Linked DNA regions of Macaca fascicularis. The protein of the gene in region 2 purifies or fractionates together with the protein of the main gene of each other region. This does not show direct contact. Links are inferred from orthologs where the notes say so. Each region holds a gene or a part of one and is shown on either strand. Other genes may lie near its edges.

Evidence for each region. The genes of interacting proteins can lie anywhere in the genome.
Region 1: the proteins of IQGAP1 (region 2) and MYL6B purify together in Homo sapiens (affinity purification with mass spectrometry; 3 studies listed by BioGRID and IntAct, with this or other methods). This does not show direct contact. The link is inferred for Macaca fascicularis from reciprocal best matches to the Homo sapiens genes IQGAP1 and MYL6B.

The regions. Positions count from the first base shown.
Region 1 is NC_088385.1:62,940,111-62,943,855, reverse strand, and holds the start of MYL6B (myosin light chain 6B), read right to left. Parts: upstream 2,812-3,745; 5' UTR 2,751-2,811; intron 1,531-2,750; exon of another isoform or gene 1,510-1,530; 5' UTR 1,464-1,509; coding exon 1,287-1,463; intron 569-1,286; coding exon 541-568; intron 326-540; coding exon 182-325; intron 1-181. UniProt on the Homo sapiens protein: Regulatory light chain of myosin. Does not bind calcium.
Region 2 is NC_088381.1:74,924,414-74,928,158, reverse strand, and holds the start of IQGAP1 (ras GTPase-activating-like protein IQGAP1), read right to left. Parts: upstream 2,266-3,745; 5' UTR 2,165-2,265; coding exon 2,110-2,164; intron 1-2,109. UniProt on the Homo sapiens protein: Plays a crucial role in regulating the dynamics and assembly of the actin cytoskeleton.

The sequences.
Region 1 (3,745 bases), on a different chromosome or scaffold from region 2:
AGTATCACATAGGACCCGGCTCCCAACCCTACCACAATGCTTTCATCCTGTTCAGCATTTAGGATATTTTCCTGCTTCTGTGTTTGACAGTTTTTGAAGTCCTGAGATCCACCTCATTCTTTGTTACCAACATTCAACTTCTGAAAACTAAAAACCCGAATTGTTCCAAGGGTCCCCTCACCATCACTCTTGGGGTTCCCCAGGACCTTGAGCACCTCGGCGTTGGTGGGGTTCTGGCCCAGGGCCCTCATCACGTCCCCACACTGGCTGTACAGGATCTTGCCATCCCCCACTCGGTCAAACAGCTCGAAGGCCTCCTTGAACTCTAAGGTATAAGGAAGGGTCAGTGTAGACACTGACTAGGGGTTCCCATCACCCCCAGACAGAAGGGAATTTCAGAAACTATGTGAACAGAACAAGGGAGGAAAAGAGGACTAGTATGGGAGGTTTCAAGGTCGGGACTGGGGTTAGGGGAATAGAAAGAGAATCTGACCAGGGGATTGGGGACTGGACAGTGGGCTTAGACCAGCTTCTCCTCACCCTCCAGCTGGTCCTTGTTAAACTCGATCTGTGGAAGAAAAAAGCAGGTGGGGAGAGATGACAGTTTATTCAGTCCCTCTCCAGCACTCTTCCCAACCAACTGGCAGCCACTTCTGAGGAGGGGCCCAAAGGGACCAGGCTGGAAGCCCAGCCACCTCAGTCCCATTCCCAGCTCTGGGCCTTGGGAGAATCCCAAGAAGAGGAATTACAGTGGGGAGGGTTTCCTGGGAACAGGGTTAATCCCATGCCACCTGTTTCCCTCCCTCCATTGCCCTGAGCCCTGCATCCCTCACATAACTGGGGGCTGAACAAAGGCTAAATTTACCCCTGGCCCCCAGCTGTGATTGTCTAACAAGTCTGTCCTCTTCAGCCTCCCTTCCTGGAGTTCAGAGCTGCAGGCCTTTTGAGTTGAATCACCAGCCAGGGGCAGGCAACAGCTCTTTTCCCTTCACCTTGAAACTGTCCTCAGAACCCAGATGTTCCCCATCTAAGAGTCCCTGCCTCCAGCAGGGGGTAAGTGAGTGTGCATGTGCTGTACACACATGGTTATAGGTTAGAGGGAGAGAACAGCAAAGACAACAGCAGAGTCATAAGCCTGGATGCTTGCAAATGGGGGACTAAGGGAAAGCCCCAATCTCATTCCAGGGTTCATTGATTCCCTACCTTCTAGATACCCCCTAATCCCCTAGGCTGTATCTCACCCTCAAACCACCCCCTCCAATTATCTTCACTTTCCAGAGACTCACCACCACTTTGGAGAGATCGATTGGAGGCTCCTGGGTTTTCTGAGGGGCCTGGGGGACAGCTGGCTCAGCTTTGCTCTTGGCTGGAGGAGCCCCTGCTGCTGCTGCTGGCTTAGCAGCAGGTTTGGAGATGGAGGGCCCTGCTGGTTTCTTCACGGGAACATCCTTCTTGGGAGGCATGATGTCCGGTGGCCAAAGGACAGTGTGCGGATGGGGGCACCCATCTCTGTTTAAATAGCCAGGGAGTCTGGGATGTCAAGGGGCGGGGGCAGGGGCAGGGAGCCAGTTGGCTGTGGCGAGGATGAGGTAGAGGAGAGATATAACCGTCTGCCCTCACTCCCTTGGCCTCCTATGGTTCAGGACTCCTGCCCCAAGGTCTTCTTCCCTCTGTCCCCTCATCCCCAAAGGCTGTCCAGAAAAGAACAATGTTTCCTTTGAGGGTAGGGGAGGAAGCCAGGGACTGCCCAGAATGAGAGGTAGTTAACCTCCAGGGTGAGGATAGGATGCTTGCACTGAGATGGGGGTGGTGAGGCAAAGCAGGTGATCCAGCAGCTTTAGTCTTCTCGAAGGGTGGGGTGAGGGGTAGCAGTCAGGGAGGCTTGTGTGAACTGGAACAAGTTAAAGTGTGGTCTGGGAGCAATGACAAAAACAAGCAGCCCATCTGCCCAGCCCCTCCACTCCTTTCTGACCATGGCTTTGTAAAGAGCAGGGGTAGTTAACCCTACAGTCTAATAATCCCTAATACTTGTAGTTCCTGAGCCCGCACCCAGCCAAGAATTGAAACTATTCACAGTATAAAGGAAGAATAGTCATAGAAACAGGAGTGTGACATCCCTCATTGTCTCCTAGTGCGCAGTGTTGTTTTAGGGGAAGGAGTGGGGGCAAAGATCAGGTTTAACATCTGCTACCCATTCTTCCATGGAAGGAACCTTCTCCACAAGACCACTGTCATTCAACACAAACAAAAGGTAGGGCGCTTGCTGAACCTGTGGGGACCCTGTGGTGGCACCCGAGAAGGGCGGGCTCTGGGAGAAGGCTTAAATTCCCTAATCCAAGAGGATGTGGGCACTCCTATGGCCTCCATGAGTATTCATCCCACTACCAGGGGTATAATAAAAATCCCGACTCAGGGGCCAGGTCACAAACCTTGCCGGGGGCACTGGGAGAGAGTCCAAGTTGGGGGGTGTTTGGGAGTGGGGAGGGGTTGCGGCCTACTTTTGTTCTGGGGGAAATTAGGAAAGGATTTAGGTAGCATTCTGAGGAAGATAGCAGTGACTCCACTTAGGCCCCGGGGTTGATGCTGGGTCTCCCATTCGCAAAACAGTGTCTGAATCTCATTACTGCAAACTGTCCCATTTTTACAAAATACATCACACACAGACACACACACACACACACACACACACACTCTCACACACCCCACTAAACCTTAAAGAAAGCGGCCCTCCTCAGCCCCCCAAAACTCACCCTGCGGGGTCCGCGTCTGTGGCTGGCGAGGGGGCGGTGCACAGCGCGGCCCCCCAGCCCTGAAGGGTTAATTCCGACGGCCGCGGAGCATGCCGGGAGTCGTAGTCCCCAGTGGGCTCACGGGATACGCCGCGCTCTAGATTGCAGCTGAGGCTAGGGCGGTGGCTTCCGGCCCATGGCGGCGTTTGGTGACTCAGTGTCCTTCCATGTCCCGGAACTGAAAGGCAATGAACAATTTCCAATCCACCCCAACCCTAAAACCCTGCAGGGTCCCTAGGGTATCCCTCCTACTTAGCCCTGGCGGGCTCCTAGTCTCGGGAGGCGGTGGGGGCGGGGGGGCGGTGGGGAGCGGGGCAGGTGTTTTCCTGGACCTACTGCTGAAAGAACTCCGAACCAGGGGAAAGGTTGAGGCTGCAGCAGGCAGCGTGGAGGTCAGATAGCTGGAAGCACTTACGGCCCCAGGGAGAGCGGCTGCGCTCTTTTTCGCTTCCTCTTGGGTTTGGTAGGAAAAAAAGAGGCCTCAGAGTAGTTTGTTTTTAATGAACTGGTTGCTGAAGTAAATGTTAAAATTTGCAATTAAGCCCAGTCACCTGCCCCAGCCTTCTGATCGAGGTTTCCATCCTGCGGCCGCATATGCGCTATCCTCCCCGGTCTTCATAGGTTCCTGAGCGGAGGGCTGGGCTTTCCAGACCTACTTTCTGAGACACTTATGGTCAGCATTGGAGTTTACTGGTTCCCCTAGGCGTTGATCAGAGGATGGGAACCAGCCCGGCCGGGCCCACCTTCATTCACTGGATCAGTAAATACACTGGCGGTGCACCTGGTGTTGGAGGCTGGGGCTGCACTGGCGTGTGAGGATTCGGTCAGAGCAGAAAACTCGGGCGAGGGCAGGGTGGTGAGGCACAGGTGAACTTTATGGGCAGTAAGTAAGGTTCACTGGTTCGGGAAAGTTTATTGGAAAGGTAGAAATGAATTGTACGACAGAAATAACGATG
Region 2 (3,745 bases):
ATTTTGGCCGAAATCTGTCCCTATCTGCCAGAACTCCTTCTAAATACAGATCTGATAATGTTGTTTCCCTCTTTTATTAATGACTAAAGCCAGCAGTTATTGAGAAATAAGTGACAGCAACTGTACTAAACATTTTACACGCATTCTCTCATTGAAACCCCACAACAATCCTGTGATTATCAGTCCTATTTTACAGATGAAGAAATTGAGGCTGGGTGAGCCCAGGCCCATGGCAAATAAGTGGCAGGGCCTGAATCCAAACCCGGAGAGTCTGTCTCCAAAGCCTGAGCTTAACCTTGAAGCAATCTGCTTCCTTCATGGGCACCAGGTATGGAATAAATTCCTAACTCCTTGGGAAGGCATTCAAGGCCTTTCCCAGTCTGGTCCCAACTATTTTTGGAAACTCTCCTCTGTCTTTCCTCCCATCACTGTGCAGTCCACACCACTCAGTTCCCAACACAGTGTCCCTCTACTCTTCAGTACCTTTGTTCATGTCCTTCCCTCAAATCCTGTCTCTTGTTCCACATGCCCTATCAAACTGTTTTTCTTTTGAGACAGGGTCTTGTTCTGTCACTCAGGCTGGAGTACAGTGGCACATTCATGGCTTATTGCAGCCTCAACTTTCTGGGCTCAAATGATCCTCCTACCTCAGCCCCAAGCAGCTGGGACCACAGGCGTGGGATACCACACCTGGCTAATTTTTTTTTTTTTTTTTTTTTTTTTAGAGATGGAGTCTCACTATGCTGCCCAGGCTGGTCTCAAACTCCAGGCCTCAAACGATCCTCTCACCTCGGACTACCAAAGTGCTGGGATTACACGCAGGAGCCACTATGCCTGGCCACCTGTCAAACTTTCTACACAGCATTCTTCAAGGTTCTGTTCAAATGTCACCTTCAGGCCAGGTGCAGTGGCTCACACTTTGGGAGGCCGAGGCGGGGAGATCATTTGAGATCAGGAGTTTGAGACCAGTCTGCCCAACACGGTGAAACCCTGTCTCTACTAAAAATACAAAAATTAGCCAGTGTGGTGGCCGACGCCTGTAGTCCTAGCTACTCAGGAGACTGAGGCAGGAGAATCGCTTGCACCTGGGAGGTGGAGTTTGCAGTGAGCTGAAACTGCACCACTGCACTCCAGGCTGGGCGACAGAGACTCTGTCTCAAAAAAAAAAAAAAAAAAAGTCACCTTCCGTGCTCATACTGTCTTCCCCAAGCCCCTTCTCCTTACCTACATTACTCTGTATGGCTAGTAAGTTCAGCATCTTTCATCGTTATTGCACCTTATAATTATTAGCATGCACACCTGTCCGGCACTCTGATTAAAACGTTCTTTGGAGGCAGGGCCTGATCTTACTCTTTAATTTCATAAATGTGGCACAATACCTCACAAATAACTGTTGATGCGTGAAATGTTGATCCTTTAAAAAAGAACATTATTCCCAGAATATAAAATAAAATCGAAAACCTCATAATCTCAAAGGGTCCTCCTTTAGCCAATCCTGCCTGCAGTTCAATGACGTCCAGGGCCGACAACAGAAAATGAGGAAGTCTTAGGATTTTGTTTCTTTTTTTTTTTTTTTTTTTTTTTTTACTATTTTACTTTTGAAATCTTGAGGAGGGAACTAAGCCCGAGAAAACTGAAGTGACTTGCCCAGGACGGCACCTCTTACCTAGCCTGGGGCCGGACAGGTCTGGACCCTGGTCTACCCCGCAGGCAATACTAGGGCAGCGCCTTTCCACGAAACGGGCAGAGCCCGCGTACCCAGACCCCAGTCCCCGGGCCACGCCCTGCGCGGTCCTCCTGCCACCTCACCCTAGGCCGTCTTCCCCAATCTCGGTCGAGCTTGGGCGACGGGAGGGGCTGGGTGGGGCTCCCCCCTACCGCGGCCCCAGCTAGGGCGGGAGGCCTCGGAGGTCCTCTCCGCCGCCTCGGACCCCGAGGGGGCGAGCACCAGGGGCCTCCCCGCCCGCCGACCCACCCGGGCGGCTCTTCCGGGTCCGAGCTGCCGGCAGCCGCCCTGCCCCACCCGCCCGGCCGAGCCCCCAAGGAAATCGCGCCTCGTCTGCAGTTAGCTCGGCCCCGAAGCCCCGCGCCGCAGAGCCCCGCACTCACAGCCATAGTGCGGCCGGGCCACGCCTAGCCCGTCAACCTCGTCTGCGGCGGACATGGCGGCCGAGCCCGGGTCTCCGCTGAAGAAGCCGTGAAACCTTGGAGGCGCGGACAGCGGCAGCTGCAGCTCCTGCCAAGTGCGCGGGCTTGCCCGGGTCCCCGAGGCCCCGCCCATGCCGTCAACCCCACCCCGCAGGCCCAGGCCCAGCGGGACCGCCCGAGCGACACCGCCCTGCCGCACCGCCCAGAGCGGCCGGAAAGAGGCGGGGCTAGCGTCACCATACCCCGCCCCCAACTCCGCCCCCTCAGCCCGGCCCCGCTCTGCATCCCGCTACCGTCTCCGTAGGCGGAAGGAAGAAGGTAGAGCCCATCCTCCAATCGGGCTCACGCTGAGCTTGCCCTGCCGGGAATGCCCGCCCAGGTTCATAGCCCCGCCCCCAGGGCCACCGCCCTATCCGCAACTCTAATCGAAAAACTGCGGGTGTCTGCTGCCTGAAATCAAAGTAGTGGGTCATCTCCCTTCTCTTGCCGGCCCAGCTAACCTCTGCACCAATACTCGGAGAAGGTGGCCCAGGGTATCTTGTCGGACACAAGCAGGCTCCAAACTGCCATAAAAGCCCTCCAACCCCACTCTCCGCAGTTTGGCAACCTGGCCTCAGTAATCTTAGATTCGGCAGCAGTCACCAGATTACCCAGGTATTTGAGATGCAGATGCTAAAGCGGAACTCTGTCCAAACTCCCTACCTTTAGATCCCTTGACATTGTTCTTTGCAAGTTCTTTTCTAAAGAACTCTTTTCCCTTACCAGGGATGCCTCTGCCCCCTGCACCTTGTGGCTTGCCCTTCAGATATTGGTATTCAACGGTATTATGAGCGCAGCCCTCTTCTGTTTTTTCTTTTTTCTTTTTCTTATTTATTTATTTATTTATTTGAGACGGAGTCTTGCTCTGTCGCTCAGGCTGGAGTGCAGTGGCGTGATCTCGGTTCACTGCAACCTCTGCCTCCCGGGTTCAAGCGACTCTCCTGCCTCAGCTTCCCAAGTAGCTGGGATTACAGGCGCCCGTCACCACGCCCAGCTACTTTTTTAATATTTTTAGTAGAGACGGGGTTTCACCATGTTGGTCAGGCTGGTCTTGAACTCCTGACCTCAGGTAGTCCACCCGCCTCGGCCTCCCAAAGTGCTGGGATTAGAGGTGTGAGCCACCGCGCCCGGCCCTCTTCCGTTTATTCTTTGCCCACTCAGTAACCTTTTCTACACTCGCCTATAACTGCTGAGGACCCCTCAATATGTATCACCAGACCAGATCATCTGGAAGTCCCTTGGTATTTTCAGCTAATGAACACTTTCACCTGTGTATAGCGCAGACACTTCAAATCCCACGTGTCAAATACTGACCCTGCTCCTGCTATATTCTCCATTCATAGAAGTACTCAATTCCCACTGGGAATACCCCAGGCTCCTTTCCTCACGCCCTACATCCAATCTGTGTTTATTTCTGAGGTGTCTACTTTTGTCTCCGTCTCCGTTGTGATTACGCTGTAGTCTCCCTTCTGCCAACCAGATCCTCACAGTTACCACGGTGTTCTCTCTAGAGTGCAAATGCAATTGTGTTTCTCTTTTTAATTTTTTTTTTTATTAC